Linked DNA regions of Lonchura striata. The protein of the gene in region 1 purifies or fractionates together with the protein of each later gene. This does not show direct contact. Links are inferred from orthologs where the notes say so. Each region holds a gene or a part of one and is shown on either strand. Other genes may lie near its edges. The genes, in order: ITGB1, ITGA9 and CANX.

The links.
Region 2: the proteins of ITGB1 (region 1) and ITGA9 purify together in Homo sapiens (affinity purification with mass spectrometry; 3 studies listed by BioGRID and IntAct, counting the BioPlex papers as one, with this or other methods). This does not show direct contact. The link is inferred for Lonchura striata from reciprocal best matches to the Homo sapiens genes ITGB1 and ITGA9.
Region 3: the proteins of ITGB1 (region 1) and CANX purify together in Homo sapiens (affinity purification with mass spectrometry; 3 studies listed by BioGRID and IntAct, with this or other methods). This does not show direct contact. The link is inferred for Lonchura striata from reciprocal best matches to the Homo sapiens genes ITGB1 and CANX.

What each region holds. Positions count from the first base shown.
Region 1 is NC_134603.1:142,822,744-142,829,965, forward strand, and holds the start of ITGB1 (integrin beta-1), read right to left. Parts: upstream 3,042-7,222; 5' UTR 2,892-3,041; coding exon 2,883-2,891; intron 1-2,882.
Region 2 is NC_134603.1:102,418,573-102,425,543, reverse strand, and holds the start of ITGA9 (integrin alpha-9), read left to right. Parts: upstream 1-3,937; 5' UTR 3,938-4,063; coding exon 4,064-4,230; intron 4,231-6,971. UniProt on the Homo sapiens protein: Integrin alpha-9/beta-1 (ITGA9:ITGB1) is a receptor for VCAM1, cytotactin and osteopontin. It recognizes the sequence A-E-I-D-G-I-E-L in cytotactin. ITGA9:ITGB1 may play a crucial role in SVEP1/polydom-mediated myoblast cell adhesion.
Region 3 is NC_134617.1:6,815,191-6,823,201, reverse strand, and holds the start of CANX (calnexin), read left to right. Parts: upstream 1-4,913; 5' UTR 4,914-5,000; coding exon 5,001-5,003; intron 5,004-8,011. UniProt on the Homo sapiens protein: Calcium-binding protein that interacts with newly synthesized monoglucosylated glycoproteins in the endoplasmic reticulum. It may act in assisting protein assembly and/or in the retention within the ER of unassembled protein subunits.

The DNA.
Region 1 (7,222 bases):
AGGGGTACAAAACACACTCGGAAAGGAATGAGGAGGAAGAGAAAGATCAGGTATACCAGTGGCCAGCAAGCTCCATCCAGCCTTCCTCCACATATCCACTCTCCACACCACGTGAGGAGAACTACCAGAGAAAGTAGCACAGTCACACATCCACCTCCTGTGCAGCAGTGACAGGGACACAAGCAAAGGCTGCACCTGCATCATGAGCAGGTCCACACTAAAGACACTCAGGCCTCGGACCATGTGCAAGAGAGGAGCAACAGGGACTCTGCAAGGCTGTCCACTAGAAGGAAAGGGAGCCTCATGCAGAACTAGAGCCTTTACTTACCAAAAGGGTCCCATCAAGACAAAGTACTTAACAGCCTGCTGAGCAATCACAGCTGCAGTACCCTGTCTCAGTACCAAGAGCCACAGCCAAGCACGAAGCCTGCAGCAGACTGATGAGAAGCTGGCTAAGTGTGCATCACATCACTCAGCTAAATCGAGACTGGGTGGAAAGGCAGGCATGACAACTATTTACAAACAACTGACGGGCACTCATACCAGCAGCAGCAAGGGAATTATATTCAGGGCAAGGGAGACCACAGCATGTGCCCACCCCATGTGTGCACGGCTCTCCCCAAGTTCGCCTTTCTGCTACCCCAGTTATCTACTTCCTGAGCTGCTGCTACAGCAAACAAGCTTTTTTCATATCTGAACTACAGCAGAACTACCCAATGAGAGGTAGAGAGAGGATGGTTTAGAGAGAGGAATGAAATCATGAATCAGGAAGAAAGAACAGCAGGAAAAGTTCTCAGACAGTTTTTTTTCAGCTTTGGGAATCACTTCCCAAAGGAAGCGGTGTAAGGCTAACCGCTTGAGTCATTTAAAATACTCAAGACAAAACACTAAAATTCTGCACTCCCATCAAAAATTCATGCACATTCTTAGAGCAACAAGCATCCCTCCAAATCAGTCCTTTACAAGGGTGGGCATTACTGGGGACATGGTACAGATCAGACAACTGAACAGAGAGAACAGAATGAGCTCCCTGGCTGCACCCACAGAGAACAGCGGAGTTGTAACTGCTGACATTTCATTTTTAAATAAATATGGTTCATTTATCATGTGGCTGGCAAACAGATACAGCACTTCGCAGCTCCAACTTTGGTTAAGGTAAGATTATGCATGCCTGTCAGCTTTTAACCTTTCAGCTGAAACATCTCTGAAAAGGACAAAAGTTGAAGGTGTTCACATCTTAAACTTGTCTTGTCTTGCCAATCTATTGCCAATGGCTCACTGTTTTTGCAATCCTTATAAATAGAGCCTTAGGTGAGCTTGCAAAATGCTACTTAATCATTACCCAGAGGCAAGTAATATTTTTTTGTGACAGAGAATGAATCATTGGTTTCATCGCTGGGACGGATGTGGACAATGAATGTCTTTGCTACTCTTAGTCTTGTTTAATTTAGTCTAATTTACATCTTTTTAGTAGTATAATACTACTTTAAAAAGGCCCATACAAACAACCAAGAACAACAAAATCCCCTCACTGCTACCAAGCTGCCTCATTTCTCAAAACTTTTCTCACACTGCCACCATCACCTACCAAATGATCTGTGTGCCAGGAGTACAAGTTATTTAAATCTGTTTCCACATACATAACGTCCTGCTTAATATCAACACCTCAGCACACAAGGAGCATTGACTGTGAGTGGTTCTACTAATCTAAATGGAGACAATCGTTACTCCTAAAGGTTTGTGTATCTTGGCAAGAATAGAACTGTAGCAGTGATGGCAAATCTACCAGAAAAATCAACATTTTCACCCAACAGCTATGTGCACATGTGCTGGCATGAATGGACTGTTGTATTCTATCAAGGACAAATGAAGACGCAAACATGAACGCTCATCAACTTCTTTTCATAAACAGTCACAAAAAGCTACCTAATGAGTTTAACAGGCAGACAGATACTTATTCCATAACATAAACACATCTGACATGGGCCTGTGAGTCAGAATGAATTTCTCATTGCTCCACGTTTCCTTCCAACAACCAGTAACTGAAGGCAATAATAGGAGACAAAGCATTGCACTACTGCTGTAAGATTTTTCAGAAATCCCCATGTGGGACATGGCATAGAGGCCTCACATTCCCACTCCATCCCGACACGAGTTTATAGCAGGCTACAGAGGCTCAGAGCCAGCTGGACGGCTCGAGCAGCCAAAGGCTGCACTGCGACCATCCCGTCATTCAAACCGCGCACACGCCGCTCTCAGCGCTCGCTTTCTGCAGGTATGTGCGGGACAATCCCCCGGGTACTCGAGTTCCCGCACTGCCTCACTCCTTTCGTTCCCATTCCCGTAACTCCGGCGCCCGCTTCCCGCGGGAGGCACCTTCCCCCTGCGGACGCCCGCCCTCGCCCGACTCCCGGGAAGCCGCCCGAAACTTTCCCAGCCGAGCGCTGCCCCCGTCCCGGGCACCGCCGGCGGGAGGCGGCGGCCGGCACGGGGCACGGCACAGGCACGGGGCTCCGGCGCCGCCCGGGGTAGAGCGCTGCCGCCCCGCCGCCGGGGCAGGGCCGGCCCCGGGCGGACAAAGGCCCGGCCGGCCCCGGCGGCACGGGAGGCCCGCGGCCGCCGTCCCGCCGCCACAGGAAGCCGCAGGCTGGGCCCGGCACCTTCCCGCCCACAGCGCCGGGCGGGCACGGCGGGAGGCGGCGCCCCCTCCTCCGCCCGGGCCGGCGCCGAGGCACCGCACACGGGGCGGCGGCGGCTCCCGGCGCGGGAAGCGGCGCCCGCAGCCGCCCGGAGCCCGCCCGAAGCGCCGAGCCCCGGGGCGGCCGCAGGCACCGCTCATCTCGCTCCCGGCCGGCTGCGACCCCCGCCCGTCCTCCCGTTACCTCGGCCATGGCTCCGGGCAGCGGGCGCGCTCCGGCCCGCCCGGCTCGCTGCGGCGGCGTCCGGGGCTGGGCTGGGCAGGGCTGGGCGCGGCGGGACGCCCGGGCTCGCTCCTCGCTGGCTGCCCGCCGCCGCCTGCTCGGAGCTGCTGCGGGAGCCCGGCCCGCGGGGGAGGGGAGGGGAGGTCCGCGCTCCGCGCTGCCCGCCCCGGAAACACATTCCTCCCCGCTGCCGTCAAGCGGGCCGGGGAGGCGTCTGCGGCGCGGCGGCAGGGACGGGAGAGCCGTGCCTGAGGCGGGGCTCGGTGCCCGCTTCCCTCCCGCTTCCATCCGTGCCGCCCGCCAGCGCCTTATTTGGCGGGGTTTGCCGGCGGCTCGGCCGGCCCCGGGCTGGGCCGGTGGGCGGGGACGGGCCGGGGCTGCCCCGCGGCCCGCTCGCTCCCGGCGGTGCGGAAAGGCTGTTCGACCCCAGCCCTTTTCCAGAGCTCTTCCCCTGCTCCGCTCCCTGCCTGGTTCCACGCGCGGTCACAGCCGAGGGGATCCCTGCCCCTCTTGCTGGCAGCTGCTGCCAAGAGCAGTGGAAGTCACTGAGTGATGAGTGCGTTTGTCCGGTGCTACACTCGCTCCGAGCTAAAAAGTCGCTTTCCCCGAATACCTCGGCCGGAGCCTGCTGGTGTTAGGAGCATGCTCTTGGTATTTTAAAGTGCCCCTTAAAATAAGTACTTGGGAAATTACCGATTAAAAAAAAGAAAATGAAAAAGCGTGCCTTTCGACACCTTATTGAAGGTAAAGTGTTGGGAAACAAGCTATCAACTCACAGCTCAGAGCTCTAAGCACTGTCTTTATGTGTGGCTACTGGAGCTTGAGTCAGTTCTTGGTTTTGTATGGTTAACTTAACCAGCAGTGCTGCGACTTGTTTATAATTTTAATCACTTTTCCCCTGCTTGCTTTCTAGCTGCATTTTGGAATAAGAAAGGAATGATGTTTCTAGTTTACTCAAGTGTGGCCTGTGATTCAACCCCGTGTTCCACTTGGGCAGTGCAGTGGTTTAGGGCGCAGTCTCCTAACAGCTGTTTTAGCAGAAGCTTTTAGTGCTGGTACAGCTGTAATTGCAAAACAGTTCTAGTGGTGTTGGAAAATGAGACTGAAATGACAGACTACTGCTCCAAGCAGCCCCATCAAAAGCAAGCACTGGATAAATGAAATGGTAGTTAAACAACTTTGACACTCAGAGATAAGGACAGCAGGAACTATATGTTTCAACAGGTAAATTAATATGTAATATTAATAGTGCCAGGAAAAATGAAAGCCATCAGAAAGCCAAAGTTTTAAAAATTGTAAAAATTAATGCAAAGTAAAAGCAAATGCCGGAGGGATAGTGGTCTGCAAAAAAATGTGGGAAACTTGAGTACTGGGCGATAAAAATTAGTTTTATGCAAGGTATTCTTCTCTGCTTCTTTATTGCAGAGAGAAAAAGCACATCTGGTGCTAATTATGACAAGGTTGTGGATTTTGATCCTTGTATGGGCCATTCACTTAAAAGATGGACTCGATGATCCTTGTGGGTTTCTTCTAACTCAGAATATTCTGTGATTTTGCCAAAATATGCAAATAGTGAGCAGCTGTCCACTATACTGTACTTCAAAGAAGTGGTGGAAAGATGTGCTACTGAGATCAATTTGGCTCTGAAGACTAAATAAAACTGCTCAACAGACTGGTTCAAATGCTACCCAATGCTCTGCTCAGATCTTATTGTGTCAAGTAGCCAGTGGCTGGCTGTGCTGTGCAATAGGAAATCAACAGGAAAAAGTCTCACAAAATGGCTGAAAAAAAATCCACTGAATTATTTGGCTGCTTTCTGGTCTCCTTTGGAGAGCACAGATGGGTATGAAAATCATGAGTTATTTTCCAACACTTGTGAAGTACTAAAGATGCCAGAAAAAAGAAAAAAAAAAAGAGCTGGAGGTATCTGAGCCAGTAGACACAATTATAGGTGATGTCAAAATGTTTAATGTAGTGTTTCTGTACTGCAGTGTACATGACATCTGGGAGAGTGAGCAGTTTTGCACAGGAGGGCTCAAGAAAAGATGGGTTTTCATGGACTGAGTGGGAAGCTGGGAAGTGTTTGGTTAATTCTTATCTTGCAGATACAGATTTTATAACTTTTACACAAACACAAATCCCAAACCAGGTTTTGATGTGTCCAGTGCTGCTTTTGTAAAGAAGCCAGCTGTGTAAATTGGGGGTGCCCAGCTGCAGCTCCAGGGCTGGAGCTGAATATCCCTGTGCCAGGCAGCTCTATTGCAATCCCTCCCAGTGCCTGGCTGGGAACCTCTGGAGTGAGGGGGCCACTTGGGTACCTCAGGAGCCACTGCCTCCAGAGAAGCAGGAACTGGTTGGTAGGAGAAATTGCAGCATCTCCTAACCAGTTATCAGGGTATTTCCTTGGCTGCAGTTTCCCGTTTGCCACATGTTGCTGCCAAGCTGCTGAACTCTGACTTACTAAAGCCCACACAGCCAGGGAGCTGTCAGCCTGTTCTCCAGCATCTTCTTCACTCCTGCACCTTGCAAAGGGTTTAGAGGGAGATATTTTTCAACTGGGGCCTCAGTGATAAGAAACACAGGATGTGTTTTAATGTGCATGGTTTGCGCATTAATACCCAAATGCAAATGCCTCTCATCAGGGCACCCATTAGGCAACTTTGTAATCTCACCAGCCACTAAAACTTCTATCTTTACTTCTTTATAGTGTGCTAGGTATCTCGCTCACCTCTGCCCCAGGGAGCGATAATTTATCTGTACTGCTCCACTTCCCCAACAAACTTTGTTACTGACAGCAGAGTACTTTCCCTTTCCACCCCTCTTCTTTTCCTTCCCTGCCTCTTCAAAATGCTTCTACCCTACTAGATAGATAAAGGGTGGGAGAGAAAAGAGGAAGTCAAAGTCATTTTCCCAAGGATAGCAATGAAGCCAGCAAAAGAAAGCAGGTCTCCTGGGAACACATCAGACTGCAGCCACCTGGGCTGAGCTGGCTGCGGGAGCACCCAGTTTTCCTGGCCTGACCTTGGAGCAGAGCAGCAGCAGCTTCAGCCGCTGTTTTATTCCAGAAGCAGCTGTGCAGTCACCAAGGGGCACAGTGAGCACTGAGACCTCACTGGCAACTGGTCAGCACTGGGCTCTGGCTTCCAGTGTGGAGGATGAGGAGGTGTTAGGGCTTGGACACAAGATTCATAGAGAAAGTATTATTAGAAGGGTCACTTAGTACAGGAAGTGATGGTGCTAAACGGTTGTGTCATTGCTTTAGATAACAGCCACTATTTGGCTCCTCATGAGGAATGAGCAGCACTTCTCTGCAGGCAGCCTGTCAGACCTGTACAGTGTGCCCATGGTATGGAATGCTGTGTTTACACTGGAGCCATGTTCTCCTGCTCCACACAAGGAGTGAAGTGAGTCACAAATGTTCAGCCAGGAGATTGCCAGAGATTGTATCCTGTGGGCAAAGGTTTGCTTTGAAGGATTGTCTGCCTGCTGTTCATGGGAGCAATGTGCAGCACTTAGGTGCAATAGAGCTGATATATTAACACCTGGTTTATGATCAGTGCTTAGATCTCTGCTTTGTTCAATCGACAGTCCTGTGTTTAACATGAGCCTGAAAAGGTCAGAGTCCACCAAGCCCTTCCTTCAGCTCACCAGCATTTAAAAAGCAACTTGTGGCTGTCAGGAAAGAAGAAAGGGGAGGTCACCATGGCCCTTCTGGTGGGACTCTGCCCTTGCTGGCACAGAGCAGGCTGCTGGAGCAGAGGGACTGGGGGACAGCTTTTGTTACAGCTGCACTGTGCCTTCTGATGCTTCCTCTGACTCATTTTCTGCACTTCCTTCAGCTGAAGAGCTGCTCTTCCCTCTTGTGTGTATGTTTGGGTAGGCTGAGCTGTTGCTGTTAAAATCCCTGCTGCCATTAGCATACACATTCCTTCTCATTTGCCACATGGACTTAAATCTTCCAAGGCACTTTTGTGGGACTCCTATGTCATTGTGAAGAGGGTCTGTTTTATGCAGAAATTCTATAAGATATTTTGATCCTCAATAAGCAAGGCAGGAATCCTTTTTCCTCCTTGGGCATGAACTACAAGTTGCTCCTATGTTCCAAAGTAAAGAAGTGAGCAGGAGTTAAGTGAAGAGACTAAAGTCTTTGAGATTTATGTTCAAGCACTCATACTCATGATAACACAGGGCAGAGAACTTCTGCACCAGCTCCTTTTGTTGCTTGAAATGAATAGTGTTTTCTAGAGAACTAGATCTTAAAACTTCAGGCTTGAAGATATTTTAGTGTTTAATTACCCAAG
Region 2 (6,971 bases), about 40 Mb from region 1:
GAAATACAAAGAATGCATGGGAACAATAAGGCTCACCACTGCAATGGGAAACCTTTAACACAAGTTCAGTTAAAACCTCCTTAATACTGAGCATGTACTGACATAAATGTATGAATAATGATGAAGAGAGGCAGCAGCCTCTTTATTAATGAAATTATGGGATGCCTTCTCATTGTTACCATGTCCTGGCTGATGGATGCCAGGGTGGGAGAAGGAGGTGTCATTCCATTCCCACTCAGCAGCACATCCTCTCCCCAACTGTGGCTAAGAGCAAGAAGGAGGGAGCTGAGGGCCAGGAAGAGAAATCTGCACCCAAACAAGTAGGGCTTAAAAAAAGATTGTTGAATAAGCTTACAGCTTACAGGTTGTAGGTGCCTGTGGGAAGTGAAAATGAAGTTTATTGTGCATAAAAAGTGTTTTGAAACAGATGGTAAAATTCCAGCCTCAGCACGACTTCGATACAAATGCAAAGAAAGGCAAATGATAAGTACAGTTATGTGAAGAATTAAGTAAGGTATTGGTAAAAGTAAGGAAACCAATGTTGAGTTCACCATGTGCAGTACAGGAACAAATTTATCTTTATATATAATTTGGGCAGAGAAGCTTTCAAGAAGACAATTTATCTGTTAATGCTTACTCTTGATGAATGGAATCTCTACACAGCTGAATCCTTAACCAATGAAGACATAGGGCATTTGTTTTAATTTTCATTTTTTTTCCACAGCCACAACATTATTGCATTGGACTTTTTTTCCTTAAGCTCTACTATTAATTAGACAGTACTGTCAAGGGTGCTACTTCACTGTTGATTCTCAATTTACAGATAATGTTTCTAATTTATAAACTAATCTGGAGACAGAGTCTTGCCAAGATACAGTGTTTAATTAATATAGGTAGGTGTAAAGTACAAATTAGCCCTATGGTGCAGGTATGGAGCTTCTCTAGATTATACAAACATCAAAGCTAACACAGACAGAATAGATATATAGAAGTGCTATATAGCTATTCCTGGTTTTAGTGGTTCTTTCACACAGGGTTTGGACCAGGATTTGGGTTCAGTGAGGAGGGAATTCTGTGATATATGATTTAATGTATTATTCTGTGTTTGTGAGAACACGGTTCTACCATCACTTAGTTTTACCGTAATATTTATTTAACTGTACGTTATTATTGTCCTTGTCACTGCATTTGGATGTCCCATTGCTTTCATAGATGGCATGCCAGAATTTTATCAGCTAAATCTACACCATTGAGACACACAGTTTCTGTTTGTTTCTGTTTGGACTGACAAAATTCCTGTTGAATTAAATGTTGTGAGATGACTTCGGTATTTAGATGTGCAATAAAAGAAAAAGGATGGAAGTACCATATTCCTAGCCTTTCCCTGGATACCCTTCCTTGCAAAGAATGGAGAGCTGACATTTTTATGGACTGACAAAATTTTGTATGTATCACTTCTAGTTGAAATAAGTCCTCCCAAGAGCACTCTACAACAAGAAAGACAAGTGTTCATTCACCTCGCCTAGTTGCTTTGCTTCCCTCCTCCCTCTGGAGAAGGATGAACACATTGCTCTCTCTAGCATATCATCCACATTTCTTTTAACTTGGTTTGAGAATTGCCTGAGCACCATTTAGTGCCCAGGTAATTAACTGAAAACCCCCAACACTTTCTTGCTTCAAAAGGCAGAGATGTGACTTTCTGTGCTAATGATTGCGTGTCATTTGTGGAATTTGCTTAATTGAGGCGTATTGATTTTCTGCCTAAATCAGATTACTTTTATCCATATTGATTGCACTGTTATAAAATCCCTGTGAAAATCTTTCTATTAAATGTTATAAATCTCCCTGCTAATATGACATAAATTCCTTGCTGTTTCACTTGATGCGCCAATAAACAAATCAATTCTTGCAGTTTGATAATATACCTAAGGCTGAAGTTACTGATAAAGTGACTTTCCCTTTTTATTTGATAGTGAGCATTGTGGCACTGAGATTTGACTGAAAAATTTTCACTTCTCCGTAACCCTGGTCATAGTTAGATGAAGGAAGACTCACACTAATCCAACCTTTTCCCAAGCCACCTTGAACAAGCACACTAAATAAGTATACCGCTAAGCTGCACAAAGCCAATATAAAACAACTTGGTGACTGGAAACATCCATTCCTCTATTTTTTTTTTCACCACCAAATTGTGTAATTTTTACTTCTCTATTTAACCTGTCCATGAAATTTTCTCTATTAATGTTCCAGCATCACAGTCAACATCAAAAATGTCAGTTTCTAAACAGCAATATGTACATGTGTCACCAGAGCACTTGCTCTGAGGGTAATGCTCAAAAGCAATGATTACAATCAATCTTCTTCCTGGTGAGGATGCTCCCTTGCAGAAACAGGCTATGCATTTGAAAGAGCCACATGGATATTATGAAACAGCTTACTGAAACTCCTCACCAAAAACAAATCCTGGTGCAAACCTTTTACAGAAAAAGAATTACTCTTTCATCAGGAACTTCATTCTCTGAAAGATTTAACTTGCAAGAGTGTTTTTCCATGACAGCTCTCCAAGAGCCTCAACATTCAGCAGTCTTCTCTGGAGATCATTGATGTCATCAGAAGCAAATTACGCATTAATCATTGTGTGCATATGCAAGAGGTACCTGACCTGGCTGCAAATCTCCAGTGACCTGCCACAAGTGGCAGTTCCTGTTGTATCAGAGTTCCTGGCTCTTCTATTCTTGCGTTTCCCAGTACTTACTCTGCTTCTCCTGGTGCACCTTCTTATGTATGAGGGATATACATTGAATTAAATAGTCAAAGCCAAGGCTAACAGAAACATATGAAAGTCACAATTATCTGTGAGATTCTGGGCTTGATCCTCAAAAAGTATCTAAACAAATGAATCCTGAGCACTAAAATATACTGCTTTTCACTTTAATAAAAGGATGGGCTTTGTGGGCCCAAAGGTTTTCTTAGCACCTAACTCCCCTCCCCTTTCCTACAGAGTGATGATCACCCTTGTCTTATCCTCTGGAGTAGAGTATCTTCTTGCCTTTGCTCTTGCTCATCTGTTAGTGCATGTTTGACTGATTAGTTTTGCTCTCAGATTGTCAAACTTTTCAAGTTTTAGAACAGTTATTTTCAGCTTTTACCGAGCTACAAAAGTTGCTGCTTCTTTTTCAGACCTGAAGTACTTTTGCCGGAAAACACTGCGTCTGATTTTTTTACCCGAAGTATTTTCATTTCTGCTACCCTGAAAAAAGACACTGCCTCTCGTCATGGCTTTCCTTTTCCCAAGAAAATCTCCCGTGCTTTTGCGTGATGCAAATCAGATCTTCCATCTGTCACTCGCGAAGCATTCCCCTCCGCGTGCCAGATCCCAGCCGGGCTGGTAGCCTCAAACTAATGGAAGTCAGGACTGATTCCTCCACGTCTTTGCCCTAAACTTTGTGATTTCCCTCTTCCCCCTCCAGGCGCCGACCGGGGGAGGGGCTGCGCGAGAAGGGGAGTAGGCGGAAAAATGAAAGAAAGCCGTAGCTGACAGGCGGTGTGTGGAAGAGAGTGACGCCGAGGAGGGGCTGTGGGGCCGCGCGGGGCCGGGCAGCGGGGCCGGGCAGCGGGACCGCCGAGCGGGGCGGGCGAGCGGGGCCGGGCGAGCGGGGCCGGGCGAGCGGGGCCGGGCGAGCGGGGCCGGGCAGCGGGGCCGGGCGAGCGGGGCCGGGCGAGCGGGGCCGGGCGAGCGGGGCCGGGCGAGCGGGGCCGGGCAGCGGGGCCGGGCAGCGGGGCCGGGCAGCGGGGCCGGGCAGCGGGGCCGGGCGCGGCGCGGCAGGTACCGCCCGGGACCGGCAGGGGGCGCCGGCGCCTCGGCCGGCCGAGGCGGAGGGGCGCGCGGTGCCCGCGGCGCGGGGCGCGGCGGGGCCGGGCCCAGACGCGGCGCGGGGCGGGCACAAAAGCGCCGCGCCCGCACACGCCACCTTGGAGTCGGCGCCGGGGCAGGGTGGGGTCGGTGGGCCCGAGTTCAGCGCTTAGCGGCGCCGGTACGGGCGGCTGCCTCGGGACTCGCACGATGCCGGAGGCGCGGCGGCGCGGGGCACGGGTGCTGTGGACGCTCCTGTGGGCGGCCGCGGTGCGCTGCTATAACGTGGATGTGGGTCGCCCCGTGATTTTCCGGGGTCCCAACGGCTCCTTCTTCGGGTACTCGGTGCTGCAGCACTACCACGACAGCACGCGGTGGTGAGTAGCGCGGCCCTGCGCGCCGGGATGGGCGAGGCGCGGGCGGCGGCGGGGATGCGGCCCGGGGGTCGCCGCCCGGGTTTCCACCGTCCCTCCCGGCAGCCGCCCCCGCCCCGCACCGCGGTCTCTCCCCGCGCCCGGTCCGCCTCTTTGGGGTGCGGTGGAGGCAGAGCTGTGGGGCTCCGCGCTGGGAGCATTTTAACGCGGGGATGTTCTTTATGGGCTGGCAGCCGGCGCTTGGCATTGTGACCTAATTGTCCTCGAGCGCCAGCCGGCCCGCGGCCGATGTCTCGGCGCTGTGCTCGATCCCCCTTCCTCGCAGGAAATATTTAGCAGCTCACCGACTTGACTGCGTACGAAAAAGCGCCCGGGGTACGAAAGATGATGGTTTTTGCCGCGTTAATGGGAAGTGCTTCTAATAGCGGTAACCTCCACCGAGAGCAGCACACTCAGCGTCCACGAAGCCAAACTACCCGCACTCTGCCTGGCTGGGACAAAATTCCTTCGGAGGCTGAAGAGACGCTTCCAAATCGTAGAGGAAATGTCTGTGTAACTTAAAAAAAAAAAATAAAAAAGAAGGCCGAAGAAAGAAAGTTTATCTACATCCAAAAATTTGTGAAACTGGCAAGCTTCTTGTTTTCCCGGTGGTTGAAAAGAGCATTGGACCATAGTCTGTTTGTTGTCTGGGTTAGAGGCTCTTTGTTAGAATTAAAAGTGATTGCTCTTAATTTGACCTAGCTGGTGTCGCCTGGTGCCCTTCTAATGTGAGTAGGAGCCACTGCTGCCAGTAAGCGTCCACAAAGCATGTCTTTATCTTTTTGTACTTAGATATTCAGCTATTGATGTTGGAACTTTGGTGCACTGTGCTTTAAATAAATGTATTCATTCTCTGGCATACAGTTCTTTAAAAATTAATTTCTTTCACACCCTTTATTTCACAAGTAGTTCTATGCTCTGCCTTTCTCCATAGTGGCTTTCATGGAGTATTCATTTTTAAGGACATATAAGAAGATTTCATAGAGGAAAAGCACCCTGAGAGAAGAAAGGCTCTCAGTTTAAAGCAGTGCTTAACTTAGGTCAAGAGTCAATGAAGGGTGCAAAAGCTGAAAGGAACTTCTATTCAACACAAGTTGCTGAGGATTCAGTGGTGTGACTGAAATGCTGATCTACTGCAGTGTGGTGGGGAAAAAGTGGTAGAATTTTTTGCTTCTTATGTAGGTATCTGTCTTTCTGATTGATAATATGAATTATCTTCATATAGCACCTGCTGGTGTGGTATTTTTTGAAGGGAAGGTGGACTAGGGAGCGGGCTCTTGGTGCTAGCCCCACTTCATTTAGAAACATGCTGGACTCTTTAAGTGTTGGGTGTCTGTCTGAAGGCAGGGATCTGTTAGAAGTCTGGTGCTCAAAATGAAAATCCCCAGTTATGTAAATTCAATTTTTTTTTGTTTGAAAATGGAGCTGATTCATGGTATTTTTATACTCACCTTGATTCTAGTGTGCTATATGCAGTTGTGCTTGTAATGCGTGTGTGCATCCTAAAGGTCAATAATGAATCTCTTAAAAGTATATGCAGCCTCCTTCCAGTTTGCTGAAGAAGCTGCTCTTAAGAGTCAGGGTTATTATTTGTGTCAAGTTTTTTTTTCTTTCTTCTTGTGACTTTTATATACCCAAGGAAGGGCTATTGTTTCAGTTTTCTCATGTTGATTGGGTCTGTACACTGCAATGGGAAGTCGTTAAAATAATTTAACTTTAGACAGTGCTATTTTGGGCATTGAAGGCTTGCCCAGTGAGTTTAGCACTATCCGAGTCTGCAAAAATGTGATTGATCTAGTCTGAGGCTGATAGGGCTCCAGCCCATCTAAAGTTATTTATTATTTTAATATGCTCTCAAGAATTTGAAGGTATTCAGGGAACTCTTGGTCTTCATTGCTTGTGAGCCTGATACTCACCTAATGTACTTCTGATCATGAGAGCTGTCCTGTTTTCCGTAGCCTCGTCTGTGCGCTGGTGTGTGTGAACATACTTGTGTGTGTGTGTCTATATATATAGTCACCAATTTATATTAAGATGGTATCTCTCATGGCCACATCTTCCACGTTTCAGCTTTTTGTTTTCCAAGACCACAAAGGCACCTGTCTGTATTGCCTACCTTAGGCCTGTGGGTTTCCACTAAGCTGGTTCAGGGTTTGGTGATTCTTTCAGGCTTTATGTGAGCCAAATATTCATGTAGAATGAAAAAAAAAGGGAAGAGGGGATATTTGGTATGAAATCTTACATCAGATAAATGTGAATAGTCAGGCTGCTGCACACAGGAATTACAACTGGGAACTGGTTGTTCAGCCGCCACTGCAATAGTGGAGCTGTCAGTGCCTTTGACATTTTCTGCAATAGTTGATTGCAACGTTGGTTCCATTGAGCTGTTTTTGCACATTTTCTTGTCTCAAGAAATCAGAGAATCTCAATAGAGATGTGCTGAGATTATTGTATTTCTGACAATGTCTGCTTTTCCTTCCTTAAGTGGGTTTTATGGCTGTAAATCTTGACAGGTTTACTCAGTTACCCATCATTGCCATTTTCAGCAAAACCAAGTGGCTGGTTACATTTACAGCAGGGACAAGCTGAAGTGCTTCTGCTCTCTGGATATAAAATTATGAAACTTGGTGTAAGAACTCAAAAAACAATCAAGAAATGACCCCAGAAAGTTAAAAAAGAAAAAAGAAAAAGAACCAACACATTTT
Region 3 (8,011 bases), on another chromosome or scaffold:
CGCCCAACACCAGCCACAGCACAGCCACACCAGCACGCAGGAGGAAGCCACATGGAAGGTGGCACGCTGGTAATAGAAAGAGGCTCAGTGTAAAACCGCACGCAAGATTTAAGTGAAAACAGTAGGGAAGTATAAAAAATAGGGATCAAAAGACAGCATGTGGTCAGGGTACTGACCACATCTGGGTTTCTGTCTTGCTTAGAAGAAGAAAGTGGTGAGGGTTTTTTAGACACAGACAAAGACACAGACACAGACACATAAAATGGCTGAAATGTATGTTTTCTGTTATCCAGGCTCTTCAGCTCCAGCAGCTGATGATTGCAAGTGGGAGAGTGGCCAGTCTGGAGAGGTTACTAAGTTAAGTGCTGCTAATTCCTTGTTTATTGACTTCAGTAAATTGGGATTAGGATGGGTGAGGGGTTCCAGGTGGTGGCCTTGTGCTGTTTATATGGCATGTCAGGAATGCAGCAACTCTTCCATGATTTTGCTTGTTTTTTAAGAGGTTGTGGTGGGGAAAGCAGAGAGCTGAGGAGGAGCACGATGCTGAGGCCAGGTCAGTTAACCCAGGGTTGCATCTGGCTCCAGATCCCAGGCTTCTTGTGCAGGGCTGGAAGAGTTCTTGTCCCCTGAAGCCAAAGGGCAAGTGGGATGTGGCTGGGGGCTCCTGGGCAATCCTGGCCACGGGACCTCATTGTGCCTCGTAACAATCACATGTTGTTATGGGAGAAGAAGACCCTTCCTTTCCTTCCTTTCCTTTTTTTCCCTTCCTTTTCCTTTCTTTTCCTTCCTTTCCTTCTTCTCCTTCCACTCCTTCCTTTCCTCCTTGCTTATCTTGCCCCTCTTCACTCTACATAATAATAACACCAATTAAGCACTTTCCTTTTACCCTGGGATTGAATGGAATTTCATTTGCCATTAATCACATCCAATGAAACTGTCGAAAGTTAAGACATTCAGAAACTTGACCACTGAAAAATGGTTTATTTTTGTTTGTTTGATGGGGGGAGCTGTTTGTTTGTTTGTTGTGAGTTTGTGAGGGTTTTTCTGCGGTTTTTTTGGGGGCTTTCTTGGGTCTGGTTGGTTTTTGTTGTTTTTGGGATTTTTTTGTTGTTCCTCAAAACAAACAACTGCTTCCAAACACACAAAGCACAATCCCTGAGCCAGACAGCCCCCAGTGGTACCATGCAAGGTGGTACCAACTCAAGAGGTTATCGTAGAGGAATTATCACAGATCCATGAGCAGCTGGGGGAGAGCAGCTATTGTCAGTCTCTGATCTGGTGAATCTGAAACGTGTGAGCTAAAGTGGAAAGACTCTGTTCTAACACAGTGTCTCTCTTTTGGCCTTGCTGCTAATCACACTCAAGCCCCTCTCTGTGCCCTGCCTCTCAGGGAGCTGTGGGGATCGAGCATTTTCTTCTTTGCAAAAGGTTTTGGGTGTTGCTAATGCCCTAAGGACAGGACGGTGTTGGCAGCCTCTTGCTGTTTCTGGCAAGCCTTCATCTGTTTAAATCCAAAGGGTAACCTGTATTTCCCTAGTGAGGGAATAACTCCAGTCCACATGTTGCAACCATGCTTGGATACAAATGCCTCAAGTGTGAGACCCTCAGGGAGGACACAGTTCTGGGGATATATGAGGGCCGCTCTCAAGCAAATCTACACCAGGTCCATGAAAGAACTGGCAGAAAGGGGCACGGTGGAAGCCAGATTTTTCCCAGCAAACTGGTGCAATGCTTATGACAGCCAGAAAAGGTGTGTACAACCATCAAGATTTCCTTACCTTATGTCCAGACTAAACCTGCACCTACTATCTTGTCTCGGGTGACTCTGAATTTCTGCTTCCCAGAAGTTGTCTGTAAAGTTCCTGTTCTCAGGGACACTTCCCAGCTTGTGAAAACGGTATCAGGTGGATAGATTGTCTTCCTCCACCTCAGTGCTCTCTGCCTGTCTCTTTCTATCCATGTGTGAGTGCTCAGTTACTACTTATCTGTTGATTTTTTTCTTTTATTTATCTGCTTCATCGTATTACAATTAATTTATAACACTTTTTACATTCATGTTTATTAGCTCTGAAAATGGTAGGACTTCATTATTTCCCTTTAAGATTATTATCCTCCCCCTGTTCTGATAATGTTCATGCATCTTTTCCCATCCTTCTCTCAAGCATTGTCCCCAGAGATGTCTTTGTAACAAAATGTGTTTTCCATGGAAAGCATTCCAGAGCACATGGACATTGCTCCGTACAGTGATGTGAGCTTGCCTCCCCTCCTGCAGTTCAAAGTTTGAAAGAGCAAAAGTCAGTGTACTCTCACTGGTTGTCTGCCTTGACTGCCTGCTCTCTGCCAGTGTGGTGTCCCTCCTGTCACACTGACCTGCTGGATTTTCCACTCGTTTCTTGCCAGTTTTCCAGAGGAGATGAGTTTGAAAAGATGTACTACTAGTGCTTGAAATGCAAGGAGAACTCTAGCAATGTGGCAATGCCCTGAAGGGATTAAGGAAGGAGGAACACTTTGGAGATAAAGTTAGAGGGAATTATGAAAATACCAGTGGAAAGCACATGACGTTTCTGTCTGATAACACTCAGGAAAAGAAAGTTCCCACAAATAGAATTACACACAGTTCTAGTGCACTAATAAACTGACCATTGCCTCTCACCTCTGAGGTGTGCATATTCAGGCTCTGCCAGTCTCACCACACTGCCTGATTTCTGCCTTTTTAACTGTACTGCCAAAGTCAGAGAGCAACACACTTCCTGTGTGTTTGTCAGTGGGACAAAGCAGATCTGCTGCAATAAAGCCTGAACACACCAAAATTATTTTCCTTGACAATGTCATGTTTGCCATGTGGTATCTGCCATTCTCTTTCTTTCACCTTCCCTGCCCTGGCACTCTAGAGTCTAAAAATACCATCTTCTCAGCTGCCAAAGCAGTTAAATCTCTGTGCATGTTTCTTCAGTTTCCTTTACTCATCCCTTTTGCTTTCCTTCTGGATTATCTCTCTGTTGTGTTCATTCTGTATTTCTTTTATCTAAGTTCAAACATCTCGAAAATCCCCACATAAGATATGCTTTTAGCAGATTCTTTTTTTTTTTTTTTTTTTTTTTTTTTTTTTTTTTTTTGTAACTTACAGTGCTCCTTTCTTCTCGATGACAAAGCAGCACAGGCAGGAGCCAGCTCCAGGGCTGCCTGCCTGTGACATGATTCAGCAGGTTGTAAAAGGAAGGAATGTTTTCTTTTTTGGGAAAGGGTGGGAGAGAAAGGGGAATCACGTGTGTGCATGTGTGTGTGTGTGTGTATTTGACTTCCTGGTGCTTCTGTGATTTCAGCAGGAGTATTATGCTGTTCTGCAGTCATGTTGCAGTTAATAACCTGTTTCAAAAAAAAGGCTTGAAAGATATTTGGTGGAAAAATGGGTTTTTCTAGATTGAGGAGGGCACTTGCTAAAATATACTGTTTTGTTACTCTTTAAAGTACTTTTCCATAGTGTTTTTAGGTTATTCTTTAAGCATTTGATATCTCCTGTGCTGCCTGTTTGTGACTGTTTCCCTGCCTGTCTGCATCTTCTGCTAAGTCTGGGTATAGCTCAACAGAGCAGTTTAGGAACCAGCTCGGTGTCTTTCTGGAAAAATGTGTTTGATTCCAAACTTCAGTGCAAGCAGGGATTTGCTGATTTCATTTATGCTGAGCCTTATTTCTGAATGCTGAGGCCCTGCTTGCTTTGTCCTAACACAGTGGAATTTTCTCTGTGGGGAAACTTATACTGCTGACTCATTGCATCAACTCAAAACAGATTTATGTTTACAAAGGAAAAAAAAAAAACCACCACCCTTTTCTTTCTTTCTTTTCTCTAGTAATATTGGATTTGTTATTCCTGCAGAATACCTTCTATCTCCTGGAACAGGCTGCAGCCCAGAGACCATGCAGGAGCTGGCTTTGAACAGGGTGGTTCAGACCCAGCTTTCTGTGGAACTGCTCTCAGCTGGTGCAGCTTGGAGACAGCACAAAGGTGCTCTAACTTCCAGGCTACCAGAGCCTGTTTTCCTCACCGTGGGGCCGTGTTCCCTGCCTCCCACACGGCTGTGTGTGCAGCAGGACACGGAGACTCCTCAGGCTTAATCCTGACCTCCTTCACATGGTCCATCAAACCCGGCGTCTCCTTCGGCCTGTCTGTCCCATGGGCCCACCAAGGACACTTTTTTCTGTATTTCCCTGTGTTTCTTTAATGATTCGATGTACAAATGTTCAACATTTATACAGTGTTTCACCTCTACAAAACTGCGTTACTTTCCTTTTTAAAATACAGCACAGGTTAAAGGTTCCGGAATTGCACAAGGCCTTTGGGCAAGCAGCTGCTGAGCAGCACTGCCATATTCCGAATACGCTGGAGTCTGCGTCACTGTTCGCTATTTTATTAAACCCTCGGCTTGTAACAGAGGGAAAGACCACCAGATACACTGAATTTGTTGAATAGGCAAGAAAACCCGAACACCCCTTCTAAAGAACGAGAAGACATAAAGATGGCTCTGCTGTTTAACACAGCGGAATTTTATGGAGCAGAGGGTGAAGGCTGTGAGGGGATGGGGGGGCGCGGGCAGGGCGCGAGGCGCTGCGGCTGGCCCCGCCCCCGCCGCCCCCCGCCGCCCGCAGCGCCCCTGGACCGCCACCCGTTGGGACCCCGCCCACATCCCAACGGCCTGCCCGCGCCCACCCAATCAGCCGGCACTTCCTGCAACCCCGCCAACCAATGACAGCGCTCCACGAAGGGCAGCGCCGTTGGGGGCGTGTCTAGAGGCGGGCCGGCTGCTGAGCGGCGGTGACATTAGCCAATCAGAGTGCACAGCCGGCGACTGGGCGGGCGGACGAGCGCGCTGTCCGCCAATGGGAGACGCTGAGCGCCGTGAGGCGGGGGTGGGGCCGGCGCGCGGCAGATAGGCGGGCGGCGGCGGGCGCGCGGGCACGTGACGGAGGTGAGGGCAGCCCGGCGGCGGTGGCCGGGGCGGCGGATGGTGAGTGTGTCCGGCCGGCCGCGCCCTCCCTCCACAGCCGCTGCGGCTCCGCAACATCGGCGCGGGGGAGCCGGCCTCGCCCGCGGTGGCGGGGGCGCTCGGCCTGTCGTGGGGCGTGCGGCGGGGCGCTGCTGGGCCCTGGGGGGTGGGAGGCCCGTGCTTGTCCCGGCCCCATCGCGGCGGTGGGAGGGCGCGGGGAGCCCCCGCAGTCAGGGCGGGAGGGACGGCCTGGGGAGGCCCCTGAGGCCGGGGGCGGGCGCGGGGCTGCGGCGGCGGCGCCGGGTCCCGCCCGGCCCCCGCAGGGCTCGGAGCGGCCTGGGGGGAGCGGCGGCTCTTCTGGTAAGTTCTGGGAGCGCCGCTCCGGGCAGCGCCTGGCGCTAGGGCCGCGTGGTGGAACCGGGAGGGAGGCGAGAGTCGCACGTAGATGTGGGCAGCGCGTGGTTTAGGTTTTAGCTGGCTACGTGTTCCATGTCGGAAATAATCTTGAACGTGCTCCCCGTGCAGGGGAGATCAGGAGGTGGGTGCAGAGCCCGGCGTGGGCCTGGCTGGGGCTGTGTGAGGGGAAGGAGAAGCCTCTGGAAGGGGGGAGCTTATGGCGAGGGGCTGGAGTCCCAACAGGTGAAGTGCAGGCGACGAATCTGCAGTAGGAACATCTGAGAATTTAAAGGCATTGAAATGCCTGCTTTGATTTTTGTCCCTCAAATATTGTTTGCATTTGGTGCCTTTAAAATAGTGTATAAATGACTTCTCATTTCTGGCTGAGGATTGTATTGTGTGCTTTTAAAAGAAAAATAAAACCCACACCATTGAATTAAAGCATGTACAGCACACTGCTTTCTTATCTGTACTATTCTAAAGTGTGAACTTTCACATGCAGGTTTGTGGTTCAGAACTTTCTAGGCTACAGAAAGAGAAATGCTGCAGGTGATTTGATTGTGAAGGGTAGTGGACATGTATTAATGGCAGTAGTAATGGTAAAGGTCCAGACCTAAAGAATCAGTCTTAACATAATTAATGCTGCAGAGGTTCTGCAGGTCATAGTGGAAAACTCTTTCTGGAACTTATTTAGAGAATGTTAGATGTCTGAAAACTGGTCTCTAGGCATGTAATGTATTTCTAAATGTAGTGTGTTGACTTCACGTCCTCAAGTAAACATATCACATGGGTGTTGTGGGACAGTCTTGCACGTTGTGGTTTTGGTTGTTGCTAAAGTACTGCAAAGAGATAGCAGAACTATAATAATGTATGAGCTAATCCAGATAAAATAATGGTTAAATATAGGTTGGTATATATATATATTACTCTAGGCTCACACTGACTTCAAAGACCACTTTATTGTTAATTAGGCTGTATTTGATGGGCTTATGCAAAACACTTAATAAAATTATGAAAAGGTCTGAGTAAAACTATGTGTTTGTATTAACTTCTAGTATTTCTAGTTTAACTAAACATTATGAAGAAGATACTTATACAATTTACAGGCAGCATTGCAGGCTGTGTATGATATGTAAACTGCTTTTTGGGATCAGCTGCCCTCCTTGGAAGGGAATCTAGTGTAAAATAGTAAGAAAGTTTTCAAATTCCATTGGAAAACCCTCTCTTGTGGTGTGCTGTAGCACTTACCCTGAGTAAATGAATAAATCCTTTACAGAGAATACACTGAGACTTGTACTTAGCTCTGCCTTTTACTTCCTTTTCTGGCCTTTGACTTTCTGCTTCTGGGAGTAGTCATAGTGGCAGCCTGTTCTTGTTGGAATCAGTTCTGTAACAGGACAAACTTGAATTGTTTTCTAGGTGTGATGGTCTCAAAGATCTTGGGATCCCTCCAGATCTGCCCCCACTAATATCATTTTCCCAGCAGCCCATCTGTTTTATGAGGTCAAAAAGCCTCATGGTTCTGTCTTACCCTCCAAGGACTTCCAGTTCTGCAGGAAGGATATCTGTGCTTACAAACGGTATCTGCTTTTTGCTTCTGTACTGTGTCTGCACTGTTGTACATTATTTTTAGAAACTGGCATATTTGAAATGCCTATTAAAAGCAAGCTTTGTTGCTGTCCCTTTTCACACCTAATCCCTTGCCTGGTTTGTGCTCTCTAGAGCCCAAACAGGAGGCAGCTTTTTTTTGTGGGGCTGTCCAGAAGAGGTTTGGCTAATCCTTTCCAGGAGACTTCTTCCTCATGTAGAAGTGTATCCCAGCCACTTATTACTGAAGAAAAAAAAATGTAGGAGGGACCACCATGGAGAGTTCTTGCCTCTCTTCTCTTGTTAGTAACATGGTTTTCCTTAGCCTTGTCTGTTGTTCATTGAGTTATGATGTTAAAGGGAGAACCTTCTCAATAGTGGAAGTTGTCCATCTGAAAAACTATTTCAGAAGAAAAAGTGTTGTCTGCATTATATGAGTTGTTGTATGAACCTGAACATAATTTTTTTATATCCCCTTTTGAGGTGTGCTGAGGCCCTGTACTAGTTGTTGAAATTATAGGATTTGGCCACACAGTTTTCAGCTGCACCATAGTGTCTGTCCCCCAAATCTGCCTAAAGAGAAATCAGGCAGGTACAGGTGACAGACCTGCACTTGAAACTGTGATATTGAGCTGCCAACAACTTTATTTCCTCTATCCCTGGCTACTTACTTTCACTGGTACTGCTACAACTCTTTGCTTTTGCTGCTGGGTTAGCCTGGGGTATTGATGCAGGGTTAAAATAACATGGCAGAAGGACTTCGAGCCATCTTAAACCAGCGGCTGGTTCATCATGAGGCTGTGTAAACAGTTACCCAGGCACTGCAGAGGAGGCAGGATGTGGAAGGCAGAGGGATTGTGAGATGTAAAAGAGATTTCCTCTGCTCTTCAGTAATTCTGACTTTAGGAAATTAGTGCACTACCAAGTAGGGTAGCTGAGCCTTTGCTCAAAACCAACAGAACTGTCATTTGAGAGGGAAAATGTATATCTGTGTCTCAGCCTTTCTGTTCTTGCCTCCTTGCAATTTTTTTGTGTTGTGATGAATC